Linked DNA regions of Yarrowia lipolytica. The protein of the gene in region 1 binds, or shares a complex with, the protein of each later gene. Links are inferred from orthologs where the notes say so. Each region holds a gene or a part of one and is shown on either strand. Other genes may lie near its edges. The genes, in order: YALI1_D30097g and YALI1_F21426g.

Region 1 (7,908 bases):
TCCTCTCGGTCACGTGGTCATTTTGACGTCCCGTTGGTCGCAATCGGACCCTGTTTCCAGAATTCTACTTCGTCATATGTCCCCCATTTATCGTGTCCACCTTGGTTAGAGTTAAGGCTATACAGAGGTGATGGCGTACAAGTGTTAGTACTTGTCGCAAGTTTGAGCTGAAAAAGGCCGATTGAAAAGGGGACTAAGACGGGCCCCAACGTGCCATAGACTATTGGAAACACACCCACGCGGCCCAACCGCTCTCCACACACTTGTGCATCGGTCTGGCTGTTGCCTCATCCACACAACTCTGTGCACCTTTAGCTCGGATCTACCATAGATCGAAAGCTGCGAAAATACATGCCTTAGGCCGGGAGATGCGAGGCGACCGAGGCTGGTCTTTGTGCGGATTTGGAGTCGGAAATGGGGAGCGGAAATGAGCGTTTACAAGAGAATACGGCGACTTTCTGACGACACCAAGTCGCTCAATCCGGCCTTGAACACGGTACGGTACCGGTATCAAGACACCTTCCACCCCACTCCACCGCCTTGTCGCTTGGTATACAAGTTTACTGGTACATACTGTATGGTGTCTCTGCAACACCCTGCTGTTGTTGACCTTACATAGTCCCCCTCTGTATCCCCAAGCTTAGGAGAGATGGAGGGTGAAGCAAGCGGCAACGTTGGCATACAGTACGAGCGAGTAGAAAAAGTCGATGGAAAAAACAAGATGGTCAAAAAAAAAGAAGAGATGACCATGACGAGTACAAAACAACGACAAAACAAGAAACAAAAGAGCAGTCCAGTTGGGGCTTCCACTCTTACCAACGCCCTCTGTTCGGACTTCCGCCCGCTCCTCTCCCGCCCCTCTTCCCCCTACTCATACCGCTCTCAGCTATTCGCCTCGTCCATAAGTGTGAGGTGCTGTAGCGCTTGCTCCAAACTGCATGCACACATCGCGTGATTTACGGAGGATCCGAAAAGCTGGGGGAGCGAGATATTGCCACATGAGCGGTACCATTCGAACCGTCGTGGCGCGCTGGCTATTCCGCTCTACTTTTTGTCCCCAGGCGACCCCTATGCCGCCCACAGCATCGACATTTGCCCTCACACCACCCCTTCCCCAGGGAATACCCACCCTGACACCCGTGAGAGTTTATGGGGCTTTTTGGCAGCACCTTAAAATGATAGGCCGGACAAAGGTAGAACTGAGAAGACTCGTGGGAAACACAAGGCGGGAAACAACAGCGAGCTGGACTCATATACATACTCGCGGGAGACGACCACACAGACACAAGGACAGGGACACTGGCGCCACCCCAACAGGCAACCCGGTCCCCATCGTAGGGTGCGTTTTCTCGTCGTCATGCGCTCGCCACAGCTCCTAACTCTAAAAAAAAGCAAAACACAAGGACAAGAATCCACACTCACATGAAGAGACAGAAGCCAGGTTTTATCTTATCTTTGGCTAAATTGGGCAGAGGCAAAAATACCGGTTGGTAGTCCCCTCTTTGGCCTGCAAAAGAGACACGTTAGTTGTCGCTGGGTGGGTCGCTACAACACGTCGTTGTCCCAACGGCCTCCCATTGGCTGGACCTCCACACCCCCAGTTCGGGAAGTGTACCCTGCGCCCTGCTTACCCAATACGTAGTTTGCCACACTAGGGAGTCGTCCGCCGGCGCAAAAGACTGAATCCCCAACCCTCTGGTGCGCCCGCTCCCCCCCCATCCACGCACTACGCTCCACACAGCATAGCTACCGAGGTTACAAAGAGTGACAAGCCGGAAAGCATTTCGAGCGCTCAGCACATCACGTGACACGCGTTAGTGAGTAGCAGCACGCAGCACACGCAACACGCTCCACGACAGGACGACCTCGTCTAACACAGTGAACTCATACCCCAACATGCAAAGCGACATGGGCATGGGTCCCCAGGGATTCATGGACGGAATGATGGACTCGGGCATGGGCCAGATGGACGCGCAGAGCGATCTGGCTACGCCATCGCCTAGCTTTGGCAACAGGCAGGGTCCGGGAACTCCGATGATGGATATGGCGGTGCAGCCGCCGCGAAATATGGAGGATATGAACAGGATTTATGCGGTGAGTATGAGCAGCGCGGGCAGAGCGAGCCAAGCGAGCAGGGCGAGCAGCGAAGTTGCCAGTCTCTCAGTACGCGATAACGTCAACGCTATCAGTCTCGTCAAGTGCACGATGGGACATGATGAAACTGGACAGAAAGATGCACGTGGACGACGTGATGGACGACCTTAATCTATCGCGTGTGAATGATGTCAGCAGTATATCGATCCCACTGACGTCGTCGACACATCATCGATGATGATGAGTTACCCACGACGGGCACTTCCAGACGCGATCTCAGACACACCTCGAGAGACGATGATGACGTTGACAATTATAACCAACGACGCGACTATAGCTGTTATAGTGATCATGGATGTCGATGCATCATGTTCGGTGCAACGATGTCATCACAACAATGACGGTGCCGCGTTGACGTGTCAAGGACTGTTGTTCACGGGTGTCGTCGACGTCGTCAATGATGGCACAGGCATGATCATCGACGTGATGATTCATTGGCACTACCAAATATCTCTGTGTTTTCAGCAGCTAAAGGCACCGTTGTCGTAGGCGTTGTTGACACACCAGTCGTGTCTATAGTCTACAGATGATGTCCGACGTCATATCGTCGTTTTCCACCGTGACTGCCTCACTCAATGGTCTTCTCGTGACGTATGACTACTCGTTCCTCTACTAACCCAGCGCTACAAAGAACTCCAGACCCGTCTCGGAGCCAACGCCAGCTCTTCCCAAGAGTTCGTCGAGCTCTCCAAAATTCTCAAAGCGTACTCGCAACGCCAGCATATGTTCCGCCAGCAGCAACAGCAGCAGCAACAGCAGCAGCACCGGATGAAGGCCATGGGCCAGCCGCAGCAGATGCAGCAGGGCACACCCCAGGGCAACATGACGCCCCAGATGGGCACTCCTCAATTCCCCTCGCCTGGCCAACCCCAGCAGCCCCAGCAACAGCGCAAACCCTCCTCTGCAGGCATGTACCAGAACTCCAACAGCAGCATGCAGAGTATGAACGGCTCTCCCGTTCCGCCCCACAATCAGCCCGGTGTCGTGGGTGCCCAGGGCATGCCCCGGCAGTCGCCCACACCCCACCTGGAGCCACAGCAACAGAACTCACCATACACACCTGACATGCTCATGCAGATGAAGAACCAGCTCATGGCGTACCGACAGCTGAGCAAGGGTGCTGTCATTCCCCCTCAGGTGCTTCAGGCGCTGTTCAGACCCACTGGCCAGCCTCCTCAGATGACTCAGCCCCAGCAGCAGCCTCCGCAGCAGCAGCAGCAACCTCAGATGACTCAGCAACAACAACAGCAGCCCCCGATGCAGCAGCCTTCCATGGGTCAACCCCCGATGGCTCAGCAGATGCAGTCGCCCGCTGGCATTCCTCAGAGCCCCATGTTCCAGAACGCCAACCGGTCGCAGTCACCGGCCGTGTCTTCCGATACAAACTCTCCTGGCATGGGCAAGCGACGAACTCCCTCTCAGACTGGCCTGAGACGATCGTCCAAACAGGAGATCGACGGAGTGACTCCCATCGCAGCCCCCGCTGTCCCTCCCCCTCCTCCAGCTGCTCCAGAAACCATTTCTGGCTACAAGGATCCCTGTCTCCTTTTGGAGGGAACCTTTTCTTTCGATGATATCACCACTCCCGCGTTCCTGGACAAGCGTCGAACCTTTATTCCATCAATTATGCCCCGTGGTATGGACGCCGAGGTGATCAAAGATCTGTACGAGGAGCAGGTTAACAAGCAGATTAGTGATCGGATTACTGAGCTCAAGGAAGGTGATCTAGATGTGCCAGAGCTTGACGAGGAAGTCGACGAGGAGTCTGCTGACTCAACTGGTTCCGATGACACCACAGCACTAGACAACGCAATCGAGCTCAAATCACTGCAGTTAATCGACCACCAAAAGGCCTGGAGAGGCGATCTCCTTGCTGACACGTTCTACTTCAACTCTGTCGGTCTGGATCCCTACAACAAGATCTACTTCACACGTATGAAGAAGACTTCGCTCCAGGAAGCGTTCATGACCGAACAGTTTGGCACGCAGCAGCTCATGGAGCGCCAGCGACACGAGGTGCGAGTGCGGTCCGAGCAGCTCATCCACATCTGCAAGCACGCGCAGGACACAATCAACGCATCTCGTTCAAGACGACTACGACAGGCTCGTGTCGCCAAGGCATGTCAGAACTATCACGTGTTCACTGAGCGTGAGGAGCAGAAGCGAATGGAGCGAAACGCCAAGCAGCGACTGCAGGCTCTGCGGGCCAACGACGAGGAAGCCTACATCAAGCTGCTTGACCAGACCAAGGACACGCGTATCACAGATCTACTGCGACAGACCAATACGTTCCTGGACTCGCTTGCGCAGGCTGTCAAGGACCAGCAGAAGAGCAACAACAGCAACGGCAATCACGTCGACTTTGGTCCTCAACAAGATATGGATGACGAGGATCCCGACAACCAGAAGAAGGCCGACTACTATGCGGTTGCTCATCGAATCCAGGAACCCGTCAGCAAACAGCCCGATATGCTTGTGGGTGGTCAGCTTAAGGAATATCAGATCAAGGGTCTTCAGTGGATGCTCTCTCTATTCAACAACAACCTGAACGGTATCTTGGCCGATGAGATGGGTCTTGGAAAGACAATCCAGACGATTTCGCTCATTGCCTATCTCATTGAGACCAAGAAGATTCCTGGACCTTACCTGGTCATTGTCCCACTCTCCACGCTCACCAACTGGACGCTCGAGTTCGAAAAGTGGGCGCCTGCTATCAAAAAGCTCGTCTATAAAGGCCCCCCCATGGCCCGTAAGGCGCAGCAGAACGCTATTCGAGCCGGAGACTTCCAGGTACTGCTCACGACCTATGAGTACATCATCAAGGACCGGCCTGTGCTGTCTCGAATCAAGTGGGTCCACATGATTATTGATGAGGGTCATCGAATGAAGAATGCGCAGTCCAAGCTGTCGTCCACCCTGACTCAGTACTACCACACCCGGTACCGACTCATTCTGACAGGTACTCCTCTCCAGAACTCGCTTCCCGAGCTGTGGGCCCTGCTCAACTTTGTGCTGCCCAAGATTTTCAACTCGGTCAAGTCGTTTGACGAGTGGTTCAATACCCCCTTTGCGTCTACTGGTGGCCAGGACAAGATGGATCTTTCCGAAGAAGAGACTTTGCTGATCATCAAACGTCTCCATAAAGTCCTCCGACCATTCCTTCTGCGACGTCTCAAGAAGGATGTGGCCAAGGATCTGCCTGACAAGGTGGAAAAGGTGCTCAAGTGCAAGATGAGCGCTCTACAGTCCAAGCTGTACCAGCAGATGATCAAACACAATGTCTTGTTTATTGGTGAGGGTGTTCAGGGTGCTACAAAGACCGGATTGAAGGGTTTAAACAACCAGGTCATGCAGCTACGAAAGATTTGCAATCATCCCTTTGTGTTCGAGGAGGTTGAAGATCTGGTGAACCCCAACCGACTGACAAACGATAACCTGTGGCGAACTGCAGGTAAATTCGAGCTCCTGGACCGAATTCTGCCCAAGTTCAAGGCTGCAGGTCACCGTATTCTCATGTTTTTCCAGATGACGCAGATCATGGATATTATGGAAGATTTCATGCGGCTCAAGGGCTGGCAATACCTTCGACTTGATGGTGGAACAAAGTCCGAGGACCGATCCGGTCTGCTTGGGAAGTTTAATGCCCCCGACTCGCCCTACTTTGCCTTCCTGCTGTCCACTCGAGCCGGAGGTCTTGGTCTGAACTTGCAGACGGCCGACACAGTCATCATCTACGACACTGACTGGAACCCCCATCAGGATCTGCAGGCTCAGGACCGTGCGCACCGAATCGGTCAGACAAAGGAAGTGCGAATCCTGCGGCTTATCACCGAAGACTCTGTTGAAGAAAATATTCTCGAGAGGGCGCACAAGAAGCTGGATATCGACGGCAAGGTCATTCAGGCCGGTAAGTTTGATAACAAGTCGACAGCAGAGGAGCAGGAGGCGTTCCTGCGAGGTCTGCTTGAGCGGGAGGAAAAGCAGAAGGAAAAGGGCGACGATGACGTGGACGACGAGGAGCTCAACGAGATTCTGGCTAGAAATGACGAGGAGCGAATCTTGTTTGCGCAGCTCGATGCGGAACGACACGCCACGTCCCAGTATGGCAAGGGCAAGATTGAAAGACTTTTCACTGAAGAGGAGCTGCCAGAGGCGTATAAGCGGGACATCAAGCTGGCTGTGGAGCCCATCAACACAGACCAATTTGGCCGTGGAGCCCGAGAGCGAAAGGTCTTGCACTACGACGATGGACTCACCGAGGAGCAGTGGCTCGAGGCTATCGACAATGACGTTGACATGGATGAGACCATTGCCAAGAAGCGGGCCGACAACAAGCGACGGCAGGCCAAGAAGAGTGGTGCGGCCGCTGCAGCTGCGACTGCGTCTCCCCTGGACGAGCTGGAGGACCTTGATTCTCCCGGAGTCAAGCGAAAGCGGTCTCGAAAGCAGACCAAGGATCCGATGATGCAGGTGGAGGACGAGCAGCCCAAGAAGAAGGCTCGGGGAAGGGGTAGACCCAAGGACACACTGACCCCCGAGGCTCGAAAGGCGCTGCTGGGCATCATGAAGACGCTGTACAACCACGTGTTGAATGTGGAGGACTCGACTGGCCGGGCCCGAATCAATCTGTTTTTGGAGCTACCCAGCAAGACGGACTACCCAGACTACTACATTCTCATTAAGCAGCCGATTTCGTGCGCCCAGATCTCGAAGCGAATCCAGAGCTCGTACTACCAGAGCCTGGATCAGTTTCTTGAGGAGTTTGCCCTCATGTTTGCCAACGCGAAGCAATATAATGAGGAGGGCTCGTTTGTGTACGAGGATGCAGTGGCGCTGCATAACGCGTTGTTGGACAAGGCCAGCACAATGGAGGGTGTGGAAAGTACGAGGGCGCTGAAGGAGGAGGGCCAGACTCAGTCTGGTACACAGTCTGGCCCCTCGTCTGCTTCTGGCCAGTCGGGCCAGTCTTCCGGACAGTCCCAGCAGGTGTCTCAGCCTCAGATTCCTCAGCAGGTGTCTCAGGTAGCCCAACAGGTGCCTGCTCCTGCTCCTACACCCCAAGTTGTGTCCCAGGCTGTTCAGCAGCCTCCTCCCCAGGCTGTTCAACCCGTGCAAGCCCAGCCAGCTGCACCTTCTCAGGCGATGCATCTGCCCCCCATGGACATGATGAATCTCCACAACGGCCACGGACAGCAGCAGCCGCAACAGCCAGCTGCACCCGCCCCCGGAATGCACCTCGGCGACATGAACTCTCCCGGGTTCGACTCCCGGTTCGACTTGCACCACGAACTCGGAGGCGGTATCCAGGAGGATATGCATCTGGACGAGTTTACTGACAACTACTTGGGCGATTTCACTACCATGGGAGGGTCCTTTGGAGTGGGTGACGATTATAAACACGAGTGATAGAGAATGTATTATTAGGATTATGAGCTGTGGACTGAAGACAGGAGCCGTAGTGAGTACCCACTCTGCTGTAGACCTGAGCAGTAGTTCTGCTATGCATGCATCGTAGCTATGTGAGTTTGACACTCGTCTGTGTGAGCGTCACCGAGTGAGCTGTAAGGATGAACATCAAGCGGAGAGGAGCGTGAAGTGTGCCAGGGTGCCAGAGTGCCTTGAGGCATCTTCGGGGATAAGGGAGGAGGTTATCAGGCGTCATCTTTCACTCAAAAATATCTTTTGTCAGACTAGCCTGGGCAATTTTTTAAGCTAAGTAAACCCAAGCAGTGCCCATATTTTGATCTAACTGAA
Region 2 (4,621 bases), on another chromosome or scaffold:
AAAAGTTGAGAGAATCGATTGAAGACCCTTTGCATGTTTCATTCCAACCTCCCACATCTCAAATGAGATCCCACACACACATCACCTGTACATCCAAAAAGATCCATGTCGCTACTTGTACCATCTTTTTTTAAGGTTTCGGTATCGCGGTATCTCTTCCATGATTGTGGGGAAGTCTAGAAGATCACAAGTAATAGATCAAAGACAATTTGATCGCCTCTTGTATAGTGTTTGGGTTCCGACAACGGGCAGATGAACTTTCTCAAGAGGCGCGGATTGGAGGTGGCAATCACGTGACCACACACGTGCCACTCTCCTCGGTCCACGTGACCCATCATTGCCGTTGCTCTTGTCGTATCCCTTTCGGATGCATGTCGGGGAATGTAGTGTCCCGATCCAGGCATTATTGATTAGTCGGGCTTTTTGAGCGTTGCCAAGCCCGTTTCTTGGAGTGAATGAAACTTTTGTAACTTGTCAGAAATGGAGGTAAGTAGAGATGATCCACAAACATTGCAAGGACATTTGAAATATGACATCGAACGGTCTTCTTCTATCCGGCGCTGTCGGCAAGTACATTATGAGTACAGTACATTATGAGTACAAGTACTGTGGTGATATCATGTGCCGGGCAGGTGGTAGTTCCTCAAGTATGGTGCAGATGTTCTGAGATGGTAACTCGACTGGGAATTTCGTCTGTGTCTGTATCTAACACACCTGCATCTATTTGTGTCTCGTTATTATTTTTGTCTTGTTTTATCACATTTTATCGCTTTTTATCGCTTTTTATCGCTTTTTATCGCTTTTTATCGCTTTTTATCGCTTTTTATCACATTTTATCGCATTTTATCGCATTTTATCGCATTTTATCTCACATGCTTAGTTATTGGGAAGTCGAAATAATACCCTCAAAATGATTCAATGGTCAAGCGTGACATACCCATCCCAATTAACGAAAATGAACTCTAAAGACACTAATACCCACGTGACTTACTCCACATATCACGTAATGTACCTCCTATCACCCTTTAGCCCGTGTATCGTACGTCCCTGTGCTGTACCTTACATGCGTCACACACTCCTCCAAGTGCAATTATCAAATCGAGACGATTCTCCAGCCTCTCCCAATTTCACGTTGAACTTTATTTTGCTGACGTAAGCAGTCCTCTGCAACGGATGGGTTTGATAACATGTGGTTCCAGGTGGTCAATGGGTGAGAAATTTCAACAGCAGATTTAAAAAAACTGTTTATTTCCATCCCATTGATTTCCAACCAAGTTCTTCGCCAGAAAACATACATTTCGCCGATATCAATCTCCCCTACCAGATTAACCTCTGGAGTTACCCTGCCGAAGTCGCACAAGCCAGACAACAGTAAACGGTATACGCGACAGCTCGCAGTTGTACGCGTGAAGACAGCCCCGACTTTTGCGACACAACATGTTTTCCGAGGGAGATTTTGGAGCCGGCGGCAGCGCAGACGCCCCCAATGGCGCCCCCACGTCGACCGATGGCGTCTCCAGTGCCGCTGCGCCCGTCGACGACCTCAATACGACCGACAACAATTCCATCACAGAGCCCACTACCGCAACCTCAGCGACTTCCAACACCGAGGCCACGGCTGAGTCGATGGAGCATGCCGAGCCCGTGATTCATGCTGACGTGGCAGGTGGTGATGAGCCTGCCCCCGATGTTGATGCTGTTGCTGACACTGCACCCGTTGAACCTCCTGCGGGTGCTGATACTCCTGTTGACGCTACGGCTTCCTGTGGAGACCCACCACCCACCACCACCACCACCCACCACTGTGACCGAGGAGCCCGCCACAGACACAATTAACGACGGTGCTGTTGTTACAGAGACCACCTCTTCCACTACCGAGAGTCTTCCTGCTGCTGAGGGTGCTACTACTGCCACTGACACTGCTGAAGAGGCCGCAAACGGTGCAGATGCAGATGGTGCAGCAAACGGTTCCAGCTCTGAACCCAAGCCTGAGACCTCTGAGCCTGCTGCTGCCACGTCACCTGCACCGGCACTGCCCTCAGATGGTATGGATGTAGACTACATGCCTGCGGACCAGGACGACAAGGAGGATGACTGGAACATGGACCTGGAGCCTGAGTGGGAGGCCACCGGTGGAATCGCCGAGACCACCAAAGTCGAGCCCAAAGCCTCCGCAGAGCCCAGGGACGACAAGGAGGCTGACTCGGAGATGCTTGACGCAGACACAGCCATCCCCGACGACCAAAAACTCAAGGAGACCAAGCCCGTGGTCGCCCCACCACCCGTGCCCCGAAACGCGGTGCCCGATTACATCCCCCAGGCGCACACTATTGTGATCCCGTCTTACGCCAGCTGGTTCAACGTGAACCGCATCCACTCGATAGAGAAGAAATCCATTCCCGAGTTCTTCAATCAGCGCAACAACTCTAAGACACCTGAGGTGTACAAGCGGTACCGTGCTTTCATGATCAACACCTACCGACTGCACCCCACGGAGTACCTAACTGTGACTGCTGTGAGACGAAACTTGCTAGGCGACGTGTGTGCCATCATGAGAGTGCACCAGTTTCTCGAAAAGTGGGGTCTCATCAACTACCAGGTTGATATTGAGGCCCGACCCCAAATGGTTGCCCCTCCCTTTACAGGCCACTGGGAGGTGACTGAGGACATGCCACGTGGTCTGTTCCCCTTCCAGGCATACAGGGGCACTCGTTTCCTGAAACGGGCTGGCGAGAACGGCTCCATCGAGGAGGGTGGCTCGATTGAGGCCAAAAAGCCGAAGGTGGAGGGTGATGATACTGCCGATGCTGTGGATGGTGGCAACAGCAACGACAACAAGGATACCAGCAGTAAAGAGGGTGGGGCCGAGGTAGGCACCCAGGGCGACACAGTGCGAGTCAAACCCGAACCCACAACTCCCCAGGTTGAGCCATTTGTGCAGTCCGATCCCGAATGGACTAAGCGGGAGGTGTACAACCTGCTCAACGGTATCGAGGAGCATGGAAACGACTGGACCGCCATTTCCGAGACAGTCGGCAACAAGACCCGGGAGCAGTGTCTGCTCAAGTTCATCTCCTTGTCTACCGAAGACAAGTATCTGGGCAAGAGTGGCGATGTTTCAGCGTCTACATCTGGCCAGGACATCAAGGTGTCTCCTCTTCAGGTGAGTCCCAAGTACCTGCCGTTTGACCATGTGGATAACCCTGTTTTGTCGGTGGTTTCGTTCCTGACTGGTCTTGTGGACCCTACTGTGGTGTCTGCCATGACCGGTCGAGGTGTGGAGGAGATTCGAAAGACCCTCAAACTCGAAATGACTGAGCAAAAGAAGCAACAGCTGCTGGAGCGAAGACGAAAGCGAGAGCAGGAAAAGAAGGATAAGGAGGCTGCTGCTGCCAAAGATGGTGACAGTAAGGACGGTGGGGAGAAGGAAGGTGGAGAAGGAGATAAGGACGACAAGGACGCCGTCAAGGAGGAGGGTTCTGATGATGACCCAGCTCTGTATCCCCCGGGAGCATCTGACTCTACCGATGCCGGCACCTCCATCAAGGACGTGCCTCTTGAGACGCTCACGTCGCTGGGCTACTCTACCCTGGGCACCAAGGCGCAGGTCTTTGCCGACTTTTCCGAGAAGGAAATGTACCGGGACATGTTTGAGCTGACCAAGGCGCAGGCCACAAAGATGGAGATGAAGATGGAAAAGTTTGCCGAGTTGGAGCGCATCATCGAGATGGAGCGACGGCAGCTGCAGATGGAGCGTGAGCAGGTGTTCCTGCAGCGTCTGCTGCTCAACAAAAAGGTGTCGCAGGTGGACAATCTGCTTACACAGGCTGCTGAGGAGACCAAGAACCAGCAACTGATTGACCAGGCCCGTTCCATTGTGCGGGGAGCCACCAAGCTGTCGTTTGCACCTACTGTGCAGGACCAGGCGCTGGAGAACAGTTGTGTGGAAAACTCGCTGGACAATGTCACTCCTGTGACCCAGAAGAAGCAGACCTTTACTTTCTGGCAGGCTTAGGTCTAGGGAGACAGATGAGGAGGAATACAGGGAGGCGTGTTGCTAACGGTGAAGATGGTTGTATATTAATAAATTGTTTAATTGATGTCAAGAGAGGAGCGAGAACTCACTTGGCTATAGTACGATGGCGAAGTGGTGATAGTTGCTGGCCAAACTGTGCTGCATATCCTCATGACTGGTCATCGGGACACTGTAGAGAGTGTTTTATTGTGTCTATTGACGGGTCATGTGGTTTCAAAAACAAAACAAACGTTTGTACCGTCGTGAGATACTGCTATTGTTAGCTACTCTTCTTTCTCTATATAATGCGTTGTGAGATCGGAGTGTCCCTGCCACGACTCAACCATGATCGACAAACTATTAGACCAGTACATTGGAGATGTGAGTTTTTCGAACGTTTATTCCGCCGAGGAGCCGTGGAGTATCTACGACGAGTATCCTGAGATTCCGCCGCGTGTTCAACCAGTGGAGAATTCTCTGATTGGAGACTTGGACAATTTCAGTCTCAGTGTACCTTCTGAGATTTCTTTGGACGCGGGCGGTTTGGAAATCACGTCATCGGTCACCGTTGTCACCAAGAGAGCGGACAGAGTTGCAGGCGGTCAG

Evidence for each region.
Region 2: the proteins of YALI1_D30097g (region 1) and YALI1_F21426g are in contact, whole or in part, in a cryo-EM structure (PDB 7EGM), measured with the Saccharomyces cerevisiae proteins. The link is inferred for Yarrowia lipolytica from reciprocal best matches to the Saccharomyces cerevisiae genes SNF2 and SWI3. Residues at the interface, in NP_014933.3 of Saccharomyces cerevisiae: Pro485, Val486, Gly487, Ile488, Asp489, Thr490, His491, Ala493, Thr494, Tyr497, Thr499, Ile501, Ala502, Leu503, Asn504, Leu505, Asp506, Thr507, Thr508, Asn510, Asp511, Lys515, Glu527, Asn528, Tyr531, Asp532, Tyr534, Ala535, Leu536, Gln537; in NP_012359.1 of Saccharomyces cerevisiae: Gly421, Leu422, Phe423, Pro424, Phe425, Glu426, Pro430, Ser431, Val432, Gln433, Leu434, Pro435, Asp436, Met437, Leu440, Lys441, Met444, Leu514, Lys516, Val517, Lys518, Ile519, Leu520, Lys529, Gln533, Leu536, Lys537, Ile539, Gln540, Gly543.

What each region holds. Positions count from the first base shown.
Region 1 is NC_090773.1:3,007,797-3,015,704, forward strand, and holds YALI1_D30097g (uncharacterized protein), read left to right. Parts: upstream 1-1,896; coding exon 1,897-2,094; intron 2,095-2,775; coding exon 2,776-7,560; downstream 7,561-7,908. UniProt on the Saccharomyces cerevisiae protein: Involved in transcriptional activation. Catalytic component of the SWI/SNF complex, an ATP-dependent chromatin-remodeling complex, which is required for the positive and negative regulation of gene expression of a large number of genes.
Region 2 is NC_090775.1:2,140,973-2,145,593, forward strand, and holds YALI1_F21426g (uncharacterized protein), read left to right. Parts: upstream 1-1,651; coding exon 1,652-4,015; downstream 4,016-4,621. Other genes in the region: YALI1_F21453g (uncharacterized protein), read left to right, coding at 4,361-4,621. UniProt on the Saccharomyces cerevisiae protein: Involved in transcriptional activation. Component of the SWI/SNF complex, an ATP-dependent chromatin-remodeling complex, which is required for the positive and negative regulation of gene expression of a large number of genes.